Linked DNA regions of Macaca fascicularis. The protein of the gene in region 3 binds, or shares a complex with, the protein of the main gene of each other region. Links are inferred from orthologs where the notes say so. Each region holds a gene or a part of one and is shown on either strand. Other genes may lie near its edges.

Evidence for each region.
Region 1: LRRC23 (region 3) and NME5 share a complex: the UniProt entries of both Homo sapiens proteins name them as parts of the axonemal radial spoke complex. The link is inferred for Macaca fascicularis from reciprocal best matches to the Homo sapiens genes LRRC23 and NME5.
Region 2: LRRC23 (region 3) and DYDC1 share a complex: the UniProt entries of both Homo sapiens proteins name them as parts of the axonemal radial spoke complex. The link is inferred for Macaca fascicularis from reciprocal best matches to the Homo sapiens genes LRRC23 and DYDC1.

The regions. Positions count from the first base shown.
Region 1 is NC_088380.1:144,602,761-144,610,145, forward strand, and holds part of NME5 (nucleoside diphosphate kinase homolog 5), read right to left. Parts: intron 7,168-7,385; exon of another isoform or gene 7,068-7,167; intron 1,698-7,067; coding exon 1,579-1,697; intron 1-1,578. UniProt on the Homo sapiens protein: Functions as part of axonemal radial spoke complexes that play an important part in the motility of sperm and cilia. Does not seem to have nucleoside diphosphate kinase (NDPK) activity.
Region 2 is NC_088383.1:66,448,850-66,456,988, forward strand, and holds the start of DYDC1 (DPY30 domain-containing protein 1), read left to right. Parts: upstream 1-2,838; 5' UTR 2,839-3,175; intron 3,176-6,770; 5' UTR 6,771-6,928; coding exon 6,929-6,940; intron 6,941-7,390; coding exon 7,391-7,492; intron 7,493-8,139. UniProt on the Homo sapiens protein: Functions as part of axonemal radial spoke complexes that play an important part in the motility of sperm and cilia. Plays a crucial role during acrosome biogenesis.
Region 3 is NC_088385.1:7,839,539-7,847,402, reverse strand, and holds the start of LRRC23 (leucine-rich repeat-containing protein 23), read right to left. Parts: upstream 5,282-7,864; 5' UTR 5,139-5,281; coding exon 5,013-5,138; intron 4,928-5,012; coding exon 4,818-4,927; intron 4,381-4,817; coding exon 4,127-4,380; intron 3,170-4,126; coding exon 3,039-3,169; intron 41-3,038; coding exon 1-40. UniProt on the Homo sapiens protein: Essential for sperm motility and male fertility. Plays an important role in the proper assembly of the third radial spoke (RS3) head and the bridge structure between RS2 and RS3 in the sperm flagella.

The DNA.
Region 1 (7,385 bases), on a different chromosome or scaffold from region 3:
GGCCAGGTGCAGTGACTCACACCTGTAATCTCAACACTTTTGGAGGCCAAGGTAGGAAGATCACTTGAGACCGGGAGTTCAAGACCAGACTGGGCAACATAGGGAGACCCTATCTCTACAAAAAATTTTAAAAATTAGCTGGGTGTGGTAGTGTGCTCCTGTGGTCCCAGCTACTTGGGAGGCTGGTGCACAAGAATCACTTGAACCCAGGAGGCAGAGGTTGAAGTGAGCCAAGATTGCGCCACTGGACTCCAGCATGGGCAACAAAGACTCAAATGACTCAAAAAAAAAAAAAAAAAAAAAAAGGAAAGAAAAAAGAAAAAAAATCTTAAAAGAAAACATAAAACATAGGGGAAAATTTTCATGACCTTGGATTTGGATTTCACAATGGATTCTTAGACATGACACCAAAAGCACAAGAAATAAAAGAAAAAAATAAATAAATTGGATTTCATCAAATGAAAAATGTTTATACATTAAAGGACATTATCAAGCAAGTAAAAAGACAACCTACAAAATGGAAGACAATATTTGCAAATCATATATCTAATAAGGGTTTAATATCTAGAAATATGAAGAACTTTAACTCAACAAAAAGACAACCCAGTTTAAAAACCGGCAAAGGACTTGAATTTGAATAGACATTTCTTCAAAGAAGGTATACAAATGGCCAACAAGCTCATGGAAAGATGCTCAACATTAGTCATTAGGGAAATGCTGATCAAAACCACCGTGAGAAACCACTTTGTGTTATCTAGCAGGATGGCTACCAAAAAAAAAAGACAGGCCAGGCGTGGCAGCTCACGCCTGTAATCCTAGCACTTTGGGAGGCCAAGGCAGGTGGATCACATGAGGTCAGGAGTTCAAGACCAGCCTGGCCAACATGGAGAAACGTCGTCTCTACCAAAAATACAAAAATTAGCCAGGCGTGGTGGCGCACACCTGTAATCCAAGCTACTCGGGAGGCTGAGGCAGGAGAATTGCTTGAACCTGGGAGGCGGAGGTTGCAGTGAGCCCAGATTGCGCCACTGCATTCCAGCCTGGGCGACAGAGTGAGACTCCTCTGTCTCAAATAATAATCATAATAATAAATAAACACAGCAAGAAAATAAGTAATCAATAATTATACATATCTAAAATGTATATAAAATACCTTATAGAAATGTTTATTTAAAAACGGTTCTCAATATTTGCAGTATTTCAAAGGACACAATGTCTTAAACATGAAAACTATAGACAATTTATAGACAATTTTTTTGGGGGGCATGGAGTCTCGCTCTGTCGCCCAGGCTGGAGTGCAGTGGCACAATCTTGGCTCTCCGCAACCTCTGCCTCCCAGGTTCAAGTGATTCTCCTGCCTCAGTCTCCTGAGTAGCTGGGATTACAGGCACGCACCACCACGCCTGGCCAATTTTTGTACTTTTAGTAGAGACGGGGTTTCACCATGTTGATCAGGCTGATCTCAAACTCCTGACCTTGGGATCCGCCCGCCTTGGCCTCCCAAAGTGCTGGGATTACAGGTGTGAGCCACCGTGCCTGGTGACAATATTTTTAAGTGTGAATAAAAATATTTCTTACCAAAGGATCTGCTGGTTTTTGCTTACAAAGCTCTGTGAGTCCTTCAAGCAAAGTTGGCATTATATGTAAATTTAAATAGTCCTTAGCAGCTTGTCCAATTGGAATGGGCTCAACGATCACTGCAAATACAAACGTATTCTCATTGAAGCAAACATAATGATTAAATACTATACAATCATTAAAAAGGCTCTTTTTAAAGAACATTTCTCTTTTTCATATATATTTTTTGAGATGGAGTCTCGCTCTGTTGCCCAGGCTGGAGTGCAGTGATGCAATCTCAGATCACTGCAAACTCCTCCTGGGTTCAAGCGATTCTCCCACCTCAGCCTTCCGAGCAGCTGGGACTACAGGTCTGCGTCACCACACCCTGCTAACTTTTGTATTTTTATTTTATTTTATTTTATTTATTTATTTATTTATTTTTAATTTTTTGAGACAGAGTCTCGCTCTGTTGTCCAGGCTGGAATGCAGTGGCATGATCTCAGCTCACTGCAACCTCTGCCTCCTAAGTTCAAGTGATTCTCCTGCCTCAGCCTCCTAAGTAGCTAGGATTACAGGCGTGTGCCACTATGCCTGGCTAATTTTTGTACATTGAGTAGAGACAGGGTTTTACCATGTTGCCCAGGTTGGTCTAGAACTCCTGACTTAAGGTAAACCGCCCACCTCAGCCTCCCAAAGTGCTAGGATTGCAGGCATGGGACACCGTGCTAGGCCCTAATTTCTGTATTTTTAGTAGAGACAGGGTTTCACCATGTTGGCCAGGTTGGTCTTGAAATCCTGACGTCAAATGATCTGCCTGTCTCAGCCTCCCGAAGTGCTAAGATTACAGGCATAAGCTACTGCAACCAGCCTGTTTTCTGTTTCTTTTCTTTTTTTCTTTGACACAGTTTCACTCTTGTCACCCAGGCTGGAGTGCAGTGGCACGATCTCAGTTCATTGCAACCCCATCTCCCGGGCTCCAGCAATTCTCCTGCCTCAGCCTCCTGAGTAGAACCAGCCTCGGTTTTCAGTTGGGATGTTTCTCTTATTATTTAGACATAGGAGTTCTTTATATATTCTAGTTACAAGTTCTTTATTTCTTTATGTGGTATATTATTTGCCAATATTTTTTCCCAGTCTGTTGCCTACCTATCTTTTCATATTTATAAAAATTTAACTTTTTTTTTTTTTTTTTTTTTTAGACACAGGGTCTTGTTCTGTTGCCCAGTCTGGAGTGTGGTGGTATGAGCACAGCTCACTGCAGCCTCGAACTCCTGGGCTGAAGCATCCTCTGGCCTCAGCCTTCCAAGTAGCTGGGCCTGCAAGTGTGTGCCATCACACCCAGCTTTTTTTTCCTTTAAGTTTTCAGAGACAGGGTGTCACTCACTATGTCCCTCAGGCTGGTCTCAAACTCCCGGCCTCAAGCAATCCTTCCACCTCAGCCTCCTGAATAGCTGGATTTACAGGTGCAAACCACTGCTCCCAGCTCCTCAAATTCTTTTTTTTTTTTTTTGAGACAGAGTCTTGCTCTGTCGCCAGGCTGTAGTGCAGTGGCATGATCTCAGCTCACTGCAAGCTCTGCCTCCCGGGTTCACGCCATTCTCCTGCCTCAGTCTCCCGAGCAGCTGGGATTACAGGTGCCTACCACCATGCCCGACTAATTTTTTGTATTTTTAGTAAAGACGGGGTTTCACCGTGCTAACCAGGATGGTCTCGATCTTCTGACCTCGTGATCCGCCCACCTCAGTCTCCCAAAGTGCTGGGATTACAGGCGTGAGCCACCGTGCCCGGCAATTTTTTGTATTTTTTAGTTACAGACTGGGTTTCACTGTGTTAGCCAGGATGGTCTTGATCTCCTGACCTCATGATCCGCCCGCCTCAGCCTCCCAAAGTCCTGGGATTACAGGCATTAGCCATCATGCCTGGCCTCTTTTCATATTCTTAATGATGTCTTTTGAAGCACAAAAGTTTTTAATTTGATTTAGTCCAATTTATCAATATTTTCTTTTATGGATCTTGCTTTTGATGTCATTTTAAGAACTCTTTGTCCAACTCCAGTTACAAAGATTTTCTCCGGTTTTCTTTTAGATGTTTTTACACTGAAGTCTGTGAGCCATTTTGAGTTAATTTTTGTGTAGGCTATGAAACAAGGGTCTAAGTTCTTCTTGTTTTTATGTGACTATCATGCTGTCCTACATCCTAGCACCATATACAGATTTTCCTCAACTTACATGGGTTACATCCCAATAAATCCATCATAAGTTGAAAATATCATTAAGTCAAAAACACATTTAATACACCTAGCCTATTGAACATCATAGCATAGCATAGCCTACCTTAAATGTGCTCAGAACACTTACATTAGCCTACAGTTGGGCAAAGTCATCTAATACAAAGCAAATTTTATATAAATAACACTTTCTTTTTTTTTTTTTTTGAGATGGAGTCTTGCTCTGTCAGCCAGGCTGGAGTGCAGTGGCACCGTCTCAGCTCACTACAAGCTCTGCCTCCCAGGTTCACACCATTCTCCCGCCTCAGCCTCCTGAGTAGCTGGGACTACAGGCGCCTGCCACCGCGCCCGGCTAATTTTTTGTATTTTTAGTAGAGACAGGGTTTCACCGTGGTCTCGATCTCCTGACCTTGTGATCCGCCCGCCTCGGCCTCCCGAAGTGCTGGGATTACAGGCGTAAGCCACCGCGCCCGGCCCTGAGCCACTGCGCCCGGCCCAACATTTTCTATATAATATACATATATTATGAGCTGGGCACAGTGGTTCACACCTGTAGTCCTAGCTCCTTGGGAGGCTGAGGCAGGAGGAGTACCTGAAGCCATGAGTTTGAGACCACCTGGGCAACAAAGCAAAACTCTGTCTCTTAAAAAAAATATGTATATATGGCCGGGCGCGGTGGCTCAAGCCTGTAATCCCAGCACTTTGGGAGGCCGAGACGGGCGGATCACGAGGTCAGGAGATCGAGACCATCCTGGCTGACACAGTGAAACCCCGTCTCTACTAAAAAATACAAAAAAACTAGCCGGGCGAGGTGGCGGGCGCCTGTAGTCCCAGCTACTCGGGAGGCTGAGGCAGGAGAATGGCGTGAACCCGGGAGGCGGAGCTTGCAGTGAGCCAAGATCACGCCACTGCACTCCAGCCTGGGCGACAGAGCGAGACTCTGTCTCAAAAAAAAAAAAAAAAAAATATATATATATATATATATCTCTCTTAAGCAATCCTTCCACCTCAGCCTCCTGAATACTGAATAGCTGGATTTACAGGTGCATATGTAAATTAAAATATATATATATATTTATTTATATTCAGTGTTTTTCAGATGCATATATAAAGATATATACAAAAATATATATATATTTTTATCTTTTTGGGGGGAGGATCTCTTGAGGCCAAGAGTTCAATACCAGCCTGGGCAATATGGCGAGACCTCCTTTCTACAACAAAAAAATTCAAAAAGTAGCCAGGCACAGTGGTCTATGCCTGTAGTCTCGGCTACTCAGGAGGCTGAAGTGGGAGAATGCTTGAGCCCACGAGTTCAGGCTGCAGTGGGCACCACTGCACTTCAGCCTGGGTGACAGAGAGAGACCCTGTCTCAAAAAAAAAAAAAAAAAAAACAAAAATAGAATGGTTGTATGGATATTCACCATTAATGTACACAGCTGAAAGCACCATAGTAAAGTCAAAAAGCTGTAACTTGAACCATGGTAAGTTGGGGACTGTATTGGCAAGACCATCCTTTTCTCACGGAATTGTCTAGGCACCTTTGTTGAAAGTGAATTGACCATAAGTGTAAAAGTTTATTTCTAGATTCTCAATTCTGTTCCAATAATCTTTTTTTTTTTTTTTTTTTTTTTTTTGAGACGGAGTCTCACTCTGTCGCCCAGGCTGGAGTGCAGTGGCCGGATCTCAGCTCACTGCAAGCTCCGCCTCCCGGGTTCACGCCATTCTCCTGCCTCAGCCTCCCGAGTAGCTGGGACTACAGGCGCCCGCCACCTTGCCCGGCTAGTATTTTGTACTTTTTAGTAGAGACGGGGTTTCACTGTGTTAGCCAGGATGGTCTCGATCTCCCGACCTCGTGATCCGCCCGTCTCGGCCTCCCAAAGTGCTGGGATTACAGGCTTGAGCCACCGCGCCCGGCCCCAATAATCTATATATGTATCTTTATGTCACTGCCACACTGCCTTATAATTGTGGCTTTGTAGTAAGTTTCAAAATCAGATAGTGGAAGTCTTCCAACTTTGTTCTTCTTTTCCAAAATTGAGTTCTTTGCAATTTTACTAAATTTTAAACTCAGTTTGTCAATTTCTACATAAAAGTATGCAGGGACTTTGATGAGGATTACATTAAAATTTTCTTTAATTTTTTTTTTTTTTTTCTTGTACAGATGAGGTCTCACTTCATTGCCCAGACTGGTCTCCTACTCCTAGACTCAAGCAATCCTCCTGTCTCAGCCTCCCAAAGTGTTGAGATTACAGGCATAGCCACTGCATCCAACCCAAAACTGTTCATTAATTTAGAAAGAATTGCCATCTTAACAATACTGAGTCTTCCAATCCATGAATATGGAATATCTATTTATTTAGATATTTTAAAATTTCTCTCAGCAATGTTTTTTGTTTTCAGTGTACAAGAATTCCACTTTCGTTAAATTTATGCCTAAATGTGGCTGGGCGCGGTGGCTCATACCTGAAATCCCAGCACTTTGGGAGGCCAAGGCAGGTGGATCACCTGAGGTCAGGAGTTTGAGACCAGCCCACCCAACGTGGCGAAACCCTATCTCTACTAAAAATACAAAAAATTAGCCAGGCGTGGTGGTGGTCGCCTATAATCCCAGCTACTCAGGAGGCTGAAGCAGGAGAATCGCTTGAACCCAGGAGGCAGAGGCTGCAGTGAGCCGAGATTGGGCCACTGCACTCCAGCCTGGGTGACAAGAGAGAAACTCTTGTCTCTTAAAAAAAAAAACTATGCCTAAATATTATATTATTTTTAATGCCATTGTGAATGGAATTTTCCTTTTTACAGCTTTATTGAAGTATTATTGAGGTACATAAAATTGCACACAATTAATGTATACAAATTTTTTCTCAACATGGGCAAATGTTTTATTCATATATTATATAAAGTTCATTATGCTAATTCATCAGGTACTAATCATTAAACAAAAATCTTTTTAATATTTTTTTTTTGAGACGTGGTCTTGCTGTGTTGCCCAGGCTGGAGTGCAGTGGTGTGATCTCAGTTCACTGCAACCTCTGCCTTCCGGGTTCAAGCAATTCTCCTGCCTCAGCCTCCCGAGTAGCTGGGATTACAGGTGCATGCCACTACGCCAGGCTAATTTTTTTTATTTTTAGTAGAGATGGGGTTTCACTATGTTGGCTAGTCTGGTCTCGAACTCCTGACCTCAAGTGATCTGCCCATGTCAGGCTCCCAAAGTGCTGGGATTACAGGTGTGAGCCACCGCCCCTGGCCCCCCAAATTTTTTTAACTTATCAGTGTACTTAAAATTTTTTTTTATTTTAAAAGCATGTCATCCTTGCACAGGGGCCATGCTAATCTTCTCTGTATCGTTCCAATTTTAGTGTATGTGCTGAAGTGAGCACAACAAATTTTTTAATAGATAAAAAATATTGTATATATTTATTGTGTACATGTTGTTTTGAAATATGTAAACACCATGGAAAGACTAAATCAGGCTAATTAACATATGCATTACCTCAAATACTTGTCTTTTTTTGTGGTGAGAACACTTAAAATCTACTGTTCTTTGTTTTTTTGTTTTTTTTTTTTGAGACGGAGTCTCGCTCTGTCGCCCAGGCTG
Region 2 (8,139 bases), on a different chromosome or scaffold from region 3:
TGGGGAGGTGCACGGGGTCTTACGGTGGGAGGATCACTTGAGCCCAGGAGGTTGTGGCTGCAATGAGTTGAGATCTCACCACTGCACTCCAACCTGGGTGACAGAGTGAGACCCTGTCTAAACCAAAAAGAGAGAAGAAAAAAGAATTCTATAAAGGATATCGTTGGGAAAATTGGATGAATTGAATGTGAAATGTAGATTATGTGATATAATATATCCAAGTTAAATTTCTTGATTTTGAATACTGGAAGTATGAGTAAGAGAATGTCCTTGTTCTAGGGCTGAATAATGGCTCCCAAATGTGTCCATGTCTGAATACCTGGAACCTATGAATATGTCACCTTAAATGGCAAAAGGGACTTTGTAACTGTGATTAAATTAAGGATCTTGAGATAGGGAGATGATCCTGGATTATCTGAGTAGGAACAATGTAATCACAGATGTCACTGTAAGAGGGACACAGTACGGTCAGACAGGGAAGGTGATGCCAGAGCCGAGGGAGAAAAAGCGATGTGATCCAGGTCCTTGAGCCAAGGGTATCCTCTAGAAGCTGGAAAAGGCAAGAAAATGGATTCTCCCCAGAGCCTCCTGAGGAACCTGTGCTGCTGACACTTTGCTTTTAGCTCTACTAAATTCATTTTGGACTTCTGACCCCAAGACCTGCAAGGGAATTAAAAAAAAAAAATTTTAGTGGGGTAGTGATAGGGTGGGGACAGAGGTGGGTAGTGTCTCCTGCCAATCGGTGTCTCCTGCCAATCTGTGTGGCCCACTTGAACCAATGCATTTGGATAAACAACCTTCTACACCCTTCTTACTCAAAGCTGGTTTGATGACAGATGACCAGCAGCATTTCATCACCTGGGGACTTGTCGAGATGCAGAATCTCAGGTCCTACCCCACCCCACAGATTCAGAACCTGTATGTTAATAAAATCTCCAAGCAACTTGTAGTTACCAATCTACTTTGCCTGGATCACTGTAGAACTGTCCTTCCCAGAAGGCAGAATCACCAATTCTGCATTCTCTGGTCATTGGGTGGCTGCCACACTCCTTACATGTGGCAAGCCATATTGGCATACCTCCACCTACTCTAAATTGCCCATTTTCAACAATGATCTGAATGAAATGTGTTTCCGCAACAGTCACTGAGATGTGGTACAAAGACAGTAGAGCCAGCATAGAGTCACAGCGTGAGGCCTGGAGGGGAAGAAGTCAAGGGGATGCCTTTTATTTTTTATTTTTGAGACAGAGCCTCGCTCTGTCACCCAGGCTGGAGTGCAGTGGCGCAATCTCGACTCTCTGCAATCTCTGCCTCCTTGGTTCAAGCGATTCCGCTGTCTCAGCCTCCCGAGGAGCTGGGATTACGCCCGGCTTTTTGTATTTTTAGTAGAGACAGGGTTTCTTCATGTTGGCCAGGCTGCTCTCCAATTCCTGACCTCAGGTGATCCACCCACCTCGGCCTCCCAAAGTGCTAGGATTACAGGCGTGAGCCACCGCGCCTGGCCAAGGAGATGCCTTTTAAGGCCCACTCAGACCAATTTAGGGTACACTCACCAATTGGGGGAGAGGCTATTTTTCGGTGTTTCCCAGAACTCGCCTGACGGTCTGCTTACATTGTTCCTGGCCTGCACTCAATAGGCAAAATAAGAATAGGGGTTGTCTTTGTTTGCTGTATACCGCCCATGCTTGGCACACTAGGAGCTCAGTAAATATTTCTTGATTTATTCATTGAGAGCTCTGACGCCTGTGCTCATGCTTCCCTTTGATTTTTCCTTGCCCACTCTGGCACTTACTATCTCAACTAACATCTACTAAGGCCTCTCTTGCCCGGCACTGCCCCGCCCATAAGCTGAAAGAGAACACGGGAAAGGCTAGTACATGCACAGACGACTAGGCCGAGGAGGACTGCAAGGGCTTGGGCCTGGTGGAGACCGGACGGCTTCCTGGAGGTAAGGCACCCGAGTTGGTTCTGAAAGGAACCAAGCAGAGGTCACCAGCAAGAGCAAAGGTGCGGAGTTGTGAAACTGCCAGGCTATTAGCAGCTTGCAGTGACGGTCTTCCAACGACTCTAGGTCTTCCGCCCTTCTCCGATTGGCTGCCCTTCCTGGTTCCTCCTCAAAGCGCGCCACCCCCTCATCTCTCCCAGAGCATGCCTGCCTGCCAGCCAGGGTCCCTTGCTCTTTTCGGTCCCCCCACTCCTCCAGGTTTCTGTGCAGCAAGTCTCCTCAGCTCACCCACCTGCGCGCCGCCACATATGCCTTTCCTCGACCCTTCGTGCGCACACCCCGCTCCAGCGTGCCCGCTCCTCTCTGCTTGGCGCCCCGCTCCTACGCGCCCCCTCCTTCCCGGCCCCCGCCCCTTGGAGCGCGCCCGCTTCTCTCTGCCGCGCTCCCCTTCTCGCATTCCCTCTCCGCCACCTCGTGCGCGCTCTCCCTCCTGCACACCACCTCCTCTCTGCCGCACGCCCGCCCCCTGAACGCCCGCTCCTCTCTGGCCCCCTCCCCTTGCGCGCGCCCCCTTCTGCACGACCCCTTCTCTATGTCGCGCGCCCCGCTCCTGCACGCCTCCTCCTCTCTACCGTGTCCGCTCCACTCTGCCGCGCCCCCTCTACTCTGCCGCGCGCTCCTACCCCTGCACGCCCCCTCCATTCGGCCGCGGCCCCTCTACTCAGCGGTGCGCTACTGCTCCTGCACGCCCCCTCCTCCCTGCAGCGCGACCCCCCACGGCCCCCCCTTTCTGCTGCGCGTTCCCCCTCCACCGCCCACTGCGCGCCCTCTGCTCACCTACACGGGCTCCTGAGGCGCGCGCTCTCGTTGCCTGGCAACGGGACGCGGCTCCCGGGTGGCTAGCGTGCGCGTGTGTCGGGTGTGCGCACCGGGAAGGCCCGAACTGTTTTTGAGATTAGTTCCTCTAGCTTCGCTGGGTCCGGCGGGCAGAGGCGGTTCTGACCGTTGGGCCTTGGGCGTCGAGCAGGACTCACCTGAGGCGGAAGGAGGCCGCTTCGCGCCTGGGGCTCCCGAGAGCAGCCGGCTCTCCTTCTCCTGCTCGTCCTGAGCAGGGAGCGCTGCGTCTCTGTCTCCTGCGGGCTGCGGGAGACTCTTCCAGACTCCCGGGTGGGAAAACCACATCGAGCGCCCCGGGAGGTTGCCAGATGCAATACTGTACTGCATGCGCAGGTAACTGAATTTCAGATAAACGAGTTACTTTTCAGTACAAATATAGTATCACGCAAAGTTATTCGTTGTTTATCTGAAATTCAGAGTCACCTGGGCGAGCTGGGTTTTTAGTTGAGAAGTCTGGCACCCCTGCCCGGGTGCCCCTGCCCAGTCGGCTGGCTGTCTCCCAGGTGTGGGTAAGGAACCTCCTTCCATCTCTGTGGCACCTTCTTCAGGCTGTAGGCAGCTGTTTCTGTGGGAAACGGCTTTCTTATGTTGAGCCAAGATGCCTATTGGTGTATATGAAAAATAACATTGGTTACCACAGGAGAGATGGGTATTATCCTCGTTTCACGGACAGGAATATGCTAAGGGAGTTGGCAGGCCTTGCCTGGGTCCCACTGATATGCCCAGAAATCCGAGACAGAGCCTCCCCTGACTTGGCCCCACTGGTAGGCCAGAAGTTTTCTCTTTGGGGATAATGGCCCCCTTCCTACCTTCCCACATTTTATCTTTCTGGAGCAGTAATAGGAGTCTGTTCCCTTTTTTTTTTTTTTTTTACTTCAAATGACTTTGACATGTCTTTGTAGCGTTTTGGTCTTTCAGATACATCCTACTGAAGAAATACAGTGAAGATACTGTGTTCCAAAGTCATTTGTAATAATTCTTTTCTCTGTGTGGTTAAGACACCAATATCAACCTGATTTGGAATTAGGTTCATTAGTGCCAGTTTGCTTTCAGTTTTTAGAGTTTTTATGACTATGTTTATATATACACATATTCCTTTCCTCACTGCTGTTGCTAATGCAAAAGATGACGGATCATATACAATTTCAGCACCTTGTTTTCTTTATTTTGTGTCTTAGAGATCACTCTTTAGTTTCTTCATTCTCTTGTACATCTGCATAATAATCCATTGTGTTGCTCTTATTAATCCCCAATTTGATGAACATTTAGATGGTGCTTCAGTGTGACTATTGTAAATAATGCTGCAAATACCTGTGTGCATATGCCATTTCATATTTTTGCAACTATATCTTTGAGATAGGATCCAAGAAGCAAGATTGATGAGTCAAAGGGTGAATGCATATGTGATTTTCTAGATGTTGTCAAATTCTCCTCCATAGGAGTTACACCATTTTGCCTTCCCACCACTGTCATATGGCATATGCGCATGGTTATGCATAAAATTTCAGAGACACTGAATTTTTCCATAGAATAAAAATTGGGGGTTATGGACGGACCCCCAGATGTCAGTGTCTCTGAACTTTTATGCAAAATGCTAGGTGCATTTGTCCAGGGACAGGTTTAGACACAGTGGCATTCTATCCCCTATAATTGCCATGCTCATTCTTATATCAGGGCCTTTCCTCATACCTAGAAGACTCTTCCTTCTCTTCTTTGTCATGTTAATTTTACTGTTTTTTTTTTTTTTTCTTTTTGGGTAAATGTGAGCTTAGCTCAAATGTCACCCCCAGAGAAGCTTTTTTTTTTTTTTTTACTTTCCTGACTTGATCAGCTCCTCCTCTCCTCTGGTCTCATAGTACTTATTTTAACTTCAATTTCATATTTATTGATTTAAATATTTATCTTCCCTTCTCATCTGTAAGCTCCATGAAGGCAGAGACTGTTTTTGTTTTAGTTTGGGCTGCTATAGCAAATTACCAACACTGGGTGGCTTAAAAACAGTACACATTTATTTCTCATCATTCTGGAGGCTGGAAAGTCCAAAATCAAGGCATTGGCATTTCTGGTGTCTGGTGAGGACCCTCTGCCTGGTGTGCAGGTGGCTGTCTTCTAGTTTTATTCTCAGATGGCAGAGAGTGAGAGCAAGCTCTCCCGTCTCTTTTTATAAGGGCATTAATCCCATGCATGAGGGCTCCACACTAATGATCTAATCACTTCCCAAAGGCTCCTAATACCATCACATTGGGAGTTAGGATTTCAACATACAGATTTTTGGGGACACAGACATTCAAGCCACAATAGTTTTGTATTCCCAGTACCTATCATGGTGCCTGACCTACAACAGGTATTTTTGTTTGTTTGTTTGTTTGAGATGAAGTTTCACTCTTGTTGCCCAGGCTGGAGTGCAATGGCACAATCTCAGCTCACTGCAACCTCTGCCTCCCGGGTTCAAGTGATTCTTCTGCCTCAGCCTTCCTGGTAGCTGGGATTACAGGCATGTGCCACCATACCTGGATAATTTTGTATTTTTAGTAGAGACAGCATTCACCACTATGGCCAGGCTGGTCTCGAACTCCTGACCTCAGGCGATCCTCCAACCTCAGCCTCCCAAAGTGCTAGGATTACAGGTGTGAGCCATTGCACCCAGCAAATATTCATTATACATTTGTTGAACAATTGATTACATTTCATCAGACTATCAGGAGAGTCTGAATTTCTTAAAATATTAAGGGTAATCTGAGGGTGATCAATTTTTCCAAAGCACCTGAAAGAGATTGGTTGCTGCGTTTTTCCTTTTCTGTTTTAAAAACAATCTGGTCTATGATTATTCCTGTTTATCTTCATAACTGGAAGGAGTAGGACATAACTGGGAGAGTGGAGAAATTCATTCCCTTGCCACCATGGAGAAACAGCTGTGTCAGCCCTGTGATTAAAACACTCTTCAAGCAGCTAGAGGAGTTTGTCTTCTAGTGGGAAGACAGACACACACACACAGAGATAGTGTAATTCTCTATGATAGTGTGGTAAATGCTATGTAAGCTGCTTGGAGCAAGAGGAACTTCTTTGGGTTGCCTGGGAAAGCTCAGGGAATAAGAAATGATTCTCTACCTTGCAGGGGAGGAGATCTTTTGAGAGAGAGAGAGGAGAATGAGGGATCATCATGTACAAGAGTCATGGAGATGGAAATGTGCAAGGGGTGGTCATCGGAATGGCAGGATGTCCATGGAGTTAGAGCCCAGGGTGTGCTGGGGCCAAGAGAGATGATGTCTGGAGGTGAACCTGAAAAGAAAATTGGGGCCAGATTGTGAGGAGCTTCATATGTTATTATTTGGAGGCTGAGTTTTCATTCTTTGGCCTTGGAAATTTATGGATTTTTTTTTTCAAAAGGTGGACTATTGTGATGCTTTGTAAAAATGGCTCTCATGGCTTAGGAGGGACATTTTAGTGTAGTCTTTAGGGTTAGGGTTTTGGAATCAGGAGGTGGGTACAAACCCTGCCTCCTTCATCTGCCAGCTGTGTTATCCTGAACTATGCACTTATGCTGTCTGTGCCTGGGCTTGCTCATGTTCCCATTGGGATCATGATACCTATTTTTCAGGTATGTTGTGAGAATTAAATGAGACCCACATAACTTGGCATTAAGTAAACTTGAAATCAATGATGATAATATCTCTTTTCTGACTCTTGGACTTGAGGTCCTCCAGGACTTTTGAAACCGTGTTAGTTGTAGTGACTTCTGTGGAGTCCTTTTGGAAACTAAAACTATTAGAAGTTTCCTGGGGCCAGCTTGCTTGTGACACCCCCAAGAGGAGGTGGACATGACTGAGGGCAGGGTGTATGTAAGGCTTTGTTCAAATCACTGGACTTGAGTCTTATAGTGACTTTATTGAAGATATCCTGCAGTAATGCAAAAACACTTACTTTTTAGGAGTTTTTATTTAGGAGTTAGAAACGGAGTCAATATATCTTCAAAAGCACCTTGGGGCATGTTTAACTCAAGGTCTTGCAGAAGTGGCAAGAGTTCGCCCAGTGGATCCAATAGAATATTTAGCATTGTGGATTTACAAGTTTAAGGACAATGTGACCATGGAACAACTGGTAAGTAGGAATCTCCTTCTAGAAAATTAGAAGAAAAAAAATTGGTCGAACTTGCCTGCTTTTTAAAAACTTTAATATTATTATTTTTCTGTTATAAAAATAATGTTTATTATACAAAAACTTGAACAACATGGAAAGTAGGAAGGAGAAAACAGTACCCAAAGAAGACTTCTATTTAGATTTTTAGGTAATTCCTTTCATGGGAAGTATTTTTTCTATAGATTTATAGATTTGTTTATGCATTTGTGATCATACACAATGTATAACTTTAATATTGTGCTCATTATTCAGATAAAATATCTTCCCAAATTATTATATTGTTTCTAAAGGGATGGGCTATAATTTGTTTAACCCTTTCCCTAATTGTCTCTATTAAATGCTTTGAAGATTGCTTTTACAAATTGCTTTCTCTCTAAGAAGTCATGTGCTGTTGTTTTTAAACAATGCTAGAGACAAAAGGAAATGGCCGAGCTGGAGCATGAAAGAGAATTAGCTCTGATGGAGCAGGAAATGATGGAAAGACTCAAAGCAGAGGAGCTCTTACTTCAGCAGGTGAGGCAAGTAGGATAGTTCAGAGGGGACTGGAATTAACGATGCCAACCTCAGCGTGGCACAGCCCAAATGTTGATAAACTTCTCATCTCCAGTTACTTAGATATGGCTTCCTAATATCTTCATCTTTATGGATGTGTGTGTCTTCTTTGCTGGAGAAGCAGCAGCCATGAGTTTTCCTGACTGCATTCTTGTATACATACATACATACACATTCCTTTCTACACTGCTGTTGCTGATACAAAAGATGCCATACCTCCAGGTAAGAGGAAAATGCAGAGAGTATGCTGTCACAGAAGGCAAAGGGAACGAGTGTTTTGGTGAGATCTGAGTGGTCAACCATATCTATTGCTGAATGGAAAAGTGTTCATCAGAGGCCACCGTAATTTGGTGGGAATAGTGTGGATGGAGTGGTGGGGGTGGGTGGAGTTAGGCAGGGGAGATGGAAAATGTAGGCAGTGCTTTCAAGATTTTGAGAGCAAGGAGAGATGCTTTTGTGTTTAAGAGCACAGTAGTGGAGGAGTGAGTGGATGACATCAGGAAATAAAGTGGATGATTCGTAGGGTCAGCTTGCCATGGAGATGGAGGAAATGGGCCCAGATCATAGGTTAGGCAGGCAGAAGGCACTTCTTTGCTTATAATCGACGG
Region 3 (7,864 bases):
GGTCCTCCAAGCCTTCCACCTTCTTCAGCAGGTTTTGGGCCTAGACCCCCAGGGCACAGTGGATTGATTGAGAAGGAGCAGGGACAGGGAAGAAAGAGAAGTCAGAATGAGATAATGCAAAAGAGGAAATCCAAGACGTTGAGAGGGAGGAGTGGAAGAAGGGAGTGGGGATGAGTAGAGATCAGTATAGAAAGTAAAGAAGTTGGCTGGGCGCGGTGGCTCAAGCCTGTAATCCCAGCACTTTGGGAGGCCGAGACGGGCGGATCACGAGGTCAGGAGATCGAGACCATCCTGGCTAACACGGTGAAACACCGTCTCTACTAAAAAAATACAAAAAGCTAGCCGGGCGAGGTGGCGGGCGCCTGTAGTCCCAGCTACTCGGGAGGCTGAGGCAGGAGAATGGCGGGAACCCGGGAGGCGGAGCTTGCAGTGAGCTGAGATCCGGCCACTGCACTCCAACCTGGGTGACAGAGCGAGACTCAGTCTCAAAAAAAAAAAAAAAAAAAAAAAGAAGTTCAGGAGAAGCTGCCATCCCAGAGAAAGGTCAGCAGTAACCCGCTACCACTCACCCCCCAAAGCCACTTGGGATGGAGGAGATGCTTCAGCCCACTCCCCATATGGCCCAGGAGCCCCCATGCCACCACTGAGGATTGCCATCAGCACCATCCCAGAATAACGAAGCTTAAGAGTCTAAAAGACAGGCCGGGCGCGGTGGCTCAAGCCTGTAATCCCAGCACTTTGGGAGGCCTAGACGGGTGGATCACGAGGTCAGAAGACCGAGACCATCCTGGCGAACACGGTGAAACCCCGTCTCTACTGAAAAATACAAAAACTAGCCGGGCGAGATGGCGGGCGCCTACAGTCCCAGTTACTTGGGAGGCTGAGGCAGGAGAATGGCGTAAACCCGGGAGGCGGAGCTTGCAGTGAGCTGAGATCCGGCCACTGCACTCCAGCCCGGGCGACAGAGCGAGACTCCATCTCAAAAAAAAAAAAAAAAAAAAAAAAAAAGAGTCTAAAAGACTAAATATTTCAGTGGCTTCCTGTGGTGTTAATTTTTTTTTTTTTGAGACGGAGTCTCGCTCTGTCACCCAGGCTGGAGTGCAGTGGCCGGATCTCAGCTCACTGCAAGCTCCGCCTCCCGGGTTCCCGCCATTCTCCTGCCTCAGCCTCCCGAGTAGCTGGGACTACAGGCGCCCGCCACCTCGCCCGGCTAGCTTTTTGTATTTTTTAGTAGAGACGGGGTTTCACCGTGTTAGCCAGGATGGTCTCGATCTCCTGACCTTGTGATCTGCCCGTCTCGGCCTCCCAAAGTGCTGGGATTACAGGCTTGAGCCACCGCGCCCGGCCCTGTGGTGTTATTATATATAACGATTTTCATCCACAGTCCCTAGCTTATAACTCCCATAATAGCCCTTGTTGCAGTCTTTTGTTATAAAGTTGGGTGTGCTGGGTCTCAGGGGCAGGTCTCAGGAACCTTCTCCTGCTGTCTTTTCACCTGCCCCAAGGGAAGGCTCTAATCTTTCCCCGCTTCTCCCTCTTTCTGGTTGTGTGTTTTTTGTTTGTTTGTTTGTTTGTTTGTTTGTTTTTGAGACGGAGTCTTGCTCTGTTGCCCAGGCTGGAGTGCAGTGGTGCCATCTCAGCTCACTGCAAGTTCTACCTCCCGGGTTCACGCCTCTCTCCTGCTTCAGCCTCCTGAGTAGCTGGGACTATAGGTGCCCACCACCACACCTGGCTAATTTTTTTGGTATTTTTAGTAGAGATGGGGTTTCACCGTGTTAGCCAGGATGGTCTCAATCTCCTGACCTTGTGATCCGCCCGCCTCAGCCTCCCAAAGTGCTGGGATTACAGGCATGAGTCACCGCACCCGGCCTCTTTTTTTTTTTTTTTTGAGATGGAGTCTTGCTCTGTCTCCCAGGCTGGATTGCAGTGGTGTCATTTCAGCTCACTGCAAACTCTGCCTCCTGGGTTCAAGCGATTCTGCTGCCTCAGCCTCCCGAGTAGCTGGGATTACAGGCACATGTCAGCATGTGTGGCTAATTTTTGTATTTTTCGTAGAGACAGGGTTTCACCATGTTGGCCAGGCTGGTTTTGAACTCCTGACCTCGTGATCCGCCCGCCTCAGCCTCCCAAAGTGCTGGGATTACAGACGTGAGCCACCGTGCCCAGCCTGATTGTGGTTCTTAAGACCCTCCCCAGAGACAGCCTCCCCAATTCCCTGGGGGAGGGAATACTAATATTTGAAGCTTCCATGGAAACCCAAGAGGACTGGGTCCAGAGAGCTTCTGGGTAGCTGAACACATGAAGGCTTTTGGAGGGTGATGCACCCAGGAAGGACATGGAGCACTGCACCTATTCCCCCAGACTTTGCCCTATGCATCTCTTCATCTGTGTCCTTTGCCCTTGCAATAAACTGATAAAAAGTCACTCCAGAAAATTAATTAAATCCAAAGAAGAGGTCATGGGAACCAGCTTCATGTTGAAGCTGATGTGTCAGAAGTTCCGGAGGTTTGGACTTGCAACTGGTGTCTGCGGACGGTGTGGGGGTCACTCTTGGGAACTGAGCCCTCAATCTGTGGGATCTGATGCTATCCCCAGGTAGATAGTGTCGGAATCGAATTAGAGATCACCCAGCTGGTATCTACTACTTGGTGTATGGGGAGAAACCCCACATCCTGGGCCCCGGAAGTCTTAGGTTGATTATTGCTGTGGTGGCTAGGGCAAGAGCTGAAGAAAAACCCAATCTGAGAGGAGAGTTTTCCTAAAACATTTCCACAGCCTGATGTTTGTACCTCAATTATGGTCCATTTTGCTGCTACCTGTATCAAAGTAAATTATCTCTGTATTATCCACATATTATATATTATCAGCCCTGCTAGGTGGCTCTGTATCTCCACAGTATCTGGAACCAACTATGGGCTTGATAATACCAGTTACTATCATAATGAAGAAGTTAGTAGCTGAGCCTACTAGAAAACAGGCATCCTGACCCCCAGGACAGTGCCCTCTTCCCTGCACCACCCTATGACCCAGTGAGTTACCAGGTAGAGGTTCTTCAGCTTAGGAAGATTGATCCCCACCGTGCTTCCCAGCTGATTCCCCCGAAGCTCCACTGTGTGCAGGCTGATCAGCTTCTGGGGGTCCAGACCTGTCACCATGTGGATTCTGTTTCCTGGGGAGGAGGGTTTCAAGAGCTCAAAGGGCCACTCCAAATGTTCAGCATTAGAGCCTGAATTTGGGAAGCCTCTAAATCACCCTATCCTGGACATTCACAAAGCAGGGTAGTAGTGAGGAAGGACAGCTCCAGACTTAATACCTCCAGAGCCCTGGGGCAAGTGGTGTGGTAGTCCAAGGTCCTGATGGACATATCCACCTAAGCCTTTGAAGAGTGAACGAAGCAGCTGACATGTCTAATTCCCTCTCCTTCTTCAACTCTTTGCTCAAATGTCATCTTCTCAGTGATGGTTGTCCTAACCAATCCATTTAACATTGCCACCTATGTCCCCCATTCCTCTTACTCTGATCTATTTCTTCCAAGGCACTTGTCTCCTTTTAACATGCTACATGAATTTACGTATTGTGTTTGTTTTACTTGTACGTCTCTCCCAACTAGAAATATAAGCTATATGAGAATAGGGACATTTCTTGTCTTATTCGCTCCTATATGGTTAACATGTAGAACTGTCATAATGAATCACATTGCGTATCTGAATGAATGAATGCAGACTGCCATGTGCCATAGCCAAGGACCATACTGCCCACTTCTGTTGGCCTCAGGCTAGGAAGGAAAGAATCTTGTGTAGCCCATCCTAAGACCCACCTTGGCCGGGCGCAGTGGCTCAAGCCTGTAATCCCAGCACTTTGGGAGGCCGAGATGGGCGGATCACGAGGTCAGGAGATTGAGACCATCCTGGCTAACACGGTGAAACCCTGTCTCTACTAAAAAATACAAAAAAACTAGCCGGACGAGGTGGCAGGCGCCTGTAGTCCCAGCTACTCGGGAGGCTGAAGCAGGAGAATGGTGTGAACCCGGGAGGCGGAGCTTGCAGTGAGCCGAGATCCGGCCACCGCACTCCAGCCTGGGCGACAGAGCGAGACTCCGTCTCAAAAAAAAAAAAAAAAGACCCACCTTTGAGATTCAGGGTTTCAAGACGAGGATGAGAGATGCCTTCAGTGTCAGTAATCTGGTTATAAGCAAAACTAGCAATCTGCAGGTAGGGCAGTTCATTCAGCTGGGCACTTCGCAGCCGGTTGCCATCAGCCTTGAGCCAGAGCAGGTGGGTGAGGTAGTTGAGTGGCGACAGGTCTGTCAGGTGATTCTCAGAAACATCCACATAGCGCAGATGGATGTAGGAGCGCAGCAAGTAGATGTCTGTCAGGTCCCTAGGAGATGGAAGAGGGAGAAGGAACCAGGTTTAGGGTTAAGAACCCAGCGAGGACTGGCAGAGTTGCTAAAGCAGAAGGCTTATAATGAGGAGAAGAATGGGCAACAGATGGTAGGCGAGAAGAAGGGTAAGAGAAGGTAGGTGGGTTCTTAACAGTGGGCAGAAAGACCTGTGTCTGTGAAGGACAGAGAACCCATACTCTGAAAGACAAATGAGGGAATCCAGCAGGAATCCCCCCATATACTCTCAGTCTCCAATTCCCCAGGTCAGCTTTGATAGAAGTCTCAGCGCTCCTGAAAAGTAAATTTTGTCCTTCCCTTTCCACTAGGCATGAGAAGGGTCAAACTCTCAGCCAGAACACCCAGGAATGACAGTGGGAAAGGAGACAGGGGCCCTACAATCTCACAGTCCTCATCTGGTCCCCCCACAACGCACCTCTCTTTAACCTCCAGCTTGACATAAGCATGAGCCAGCCCACTGCCTGTCTTACAGAGCAGAGAAAGCCCTTCCTTCATCATGTCCTCCGTGAGGGGCGTGGGCAGCCACTGCAGGTGGAAGTGGAATAAGGCGTCCCTCCCCTGCCCAACCCCGCCCCTCAGCCCTAGGACCCCTCTTTGTCCAGGCTCTCACTTCCTCAGGGAACTCTTCCCCCTCTTTTCTGTAGTCCTCCCCCTCCTCTGTCTCCTTCTCGTCCTCTTCTTTCTCAAAATCATCCTGGTCTGGCTCAAAGTCTTCTAGATCATCTTCATCTGACATCTTTCTTCCCTCCTGAAAGCTCTGAAGTCAGATAAGCTCAGTCCTCCTCCTGAGAAAGAAGGTCTCCTCAGCTTCTGCCAGCCTTCAGCTCCTTCATCGTCATTGACACGTGCCACTCCCATCACCCGCATCACTTCTGACCCACCAACTCTAGGCTTCTTTCCTCATCCCTGTGAACATCTCATTTTGACTCTCAACCCCCACTTCACACTTTCCACTGAGGACCCCCTCCCTTCAGGATGTCACCCACACCCCCAGGCCTTTCCTGTCCTTCGCAGTGGCTTCAGCTCTCCTCCAGCAGCCCAGTGTCCCTATTTCCTGGGCTTCCCTCTCCCCCATTCTTCCCACCTCCCCCTTAAGCCATGCTCTCCACTCTTCCCTACCAAGTCCTCCTCCTCCTCCTCTCCTCTTAGCTCCCACTGCGCCATCCCTAATCCCCGCTCCATTCATTTCTTCTACTTTTCCCTCCCCACTGGACCAATTTCCTTGGGCCCTCTGGTACACCAGCCTAAAGCGCAGTCTCCAGTCCTCCCACTCAATTCGCCTTAGCAAAGGGGCTCAGACCCTGTTTCTGCTAAATCAGAAGCAGTTCTGGAGAGGCCCTTGGTCCCGAGAGGGAAGGACTGTTTAGCAAGCGGGCGAGGGGAAGGAGGGGTTGTGTACTGCTGTTATGGCAACGGGGGCGGGGCACTTGGCTACTGAAACTCGCCACCGTTGAGCGCAGAGCGGCGACTACCTGATGCGCAAATCAGCTGGGGAGGGGATTGATCAGTAGTTGCCTGGTTACCAGGCCAATTTCCCAGTCCCGGGAACCCGGATGAGGCGCGGAAAGGGCGTCGGGCCGCTAATTGGTTGAGGACAAAAAAAAAAAAAAAAATGGCCAGGGCTGAGAAGAGAGAAGAGAGAGGGCGGGGCTAGTCATTACGTCACCCAAGACCTTAAAGGGACCCCCGACATCTTCAATGCAAAAGTATTGTGAATTCAGGAAAAACTCACCCTTCGAAGCAAAAAGGGCGGGGCTGCGAGGAAAAGCAAGAAACACCAAGATAAGGGGTCTTTTCCCCTTCCCCCTGTAGTTTCTGCTCATTAGTTATTTTCAGGTAGACCTTTGAAAGGTGGCTTGGTAGAGCGGAAGGAGCCCAGACACAGGTATCTTAAGAACTGGGTTGGAGTCTTGGCAGATCTGCATTTACTAGCTAAACGTACCCAAGACTCTTTCTTATCTGTAGATCAGCTTAACTATATCAACTGGCAGGGATCCAGTATGAGTTATCCTGGACTGGTTTGATGCAAACCTTTTAGTGGGTGGAAGGCAGAAAATTCAACATCTGCCCACTGAAATACTCCTGATCCAACGTTGTTATATCAGTAATCAACAGGAACTGGCATAGCCAAAAACCCAGGCACTCAGGCCTGTCTGACGTGTTGAAGAAGTTGAAAAAGATGTTGAGATGCAATAAATATTTCTGAAGAGTTTGTGCGAGACATTATGTCAAACGTCTTTACAACTGGTATTTAATCTCTGCAACAGTCCTGTAAGACAGACATTTGAAAGAAGAGGATACTGAGGCTCAGGGAGGTTAAGATGACACAATTCCTGCCTGGGGAAAGGGGGATGTTACCAATCTTGTTGTGGAATCTAATGTAAATGAAACAATCAGGTAACCAGGTAAGATGGTATGTGATTCATTGTTAAATTGTGCCTACAGACTTTATATAACATCAAAGTGGTCTGATGGAAGATGTGGTGGACAAGAAATCAGAAAGTATTACATTACCTCCTGCCCAGGGCAGCTTGGAGGAATATAGTTAATAGGCAGATCTGTTTACTTGGTGTCATGGAACCAGTAGGGACTTTAAAGTCAGAGACACCAGCTTCAAAACCCATCTCTACCACTTAATACCTGTGTGTTCTTCAGCAGGTTATGAAATCTTACTAAGATCTAATTTCCACACTTGTGAAATGGGAATTAAAATGTCCACCTGTAAGGATTGTTAAGGGATTAAAACAGATAATGCGGGTAAATCGCCTTGCACTTAGTTGACCCTTAGTAAACATTTTCCTGCTCCTCCCCACCCTTGGCCTGTGTCCTTGGTACAGGGGTTGCTGTGAGGAAAAAGAAATAATAAATATGAAAGCACTCTGAAGAGTTAGATGTGCTATACAAATGAAAGTTATTGTATTGTCGGAGTGTGGAGAACGGAAAAATCCATGTGGTTTGAGGTAGTCGAAAGAAATGGATATGATTTTCCTTGGCCAAGAAGAAAGAGGAAGACACATTAGATGGGAAGAAAAGTTGTGATGTAAGGGTTAGGAATGTGTCCTTGAACACACACTTTTTTTTTTTTGAGATGGAGTCTTGCTGTGTTGCCCAGGCTGGAGTCCAGTGGCGGGATCTCGGCTCACTGCAAGCTCTGCCTCCTAGGTTCACACCATTCTCCTGCCTCAGCCTCCGGAGTAGCTGAGACTACAGGCGCCCGCCACCAGGCCCGGCTAATTTTTTTGTATTTTTAGTAGAGACAGGGTTTCACCGTGTTAGCCAGGATGGTCTTGATCTCCTGACCTTGTGATCCACCCGCCTTGGCCTCCCAAAGTGCTGAGATTACAGGCGTGAGCCACCGCACCCAGCTAGACTTTTGTTATTTTGTTTTTATTTTTGTTTTGAAATAGAGTTTCCCTCTGTCACCCAGGATGGAGTGCAGTGGAGCAATCATAGCTTACTGCA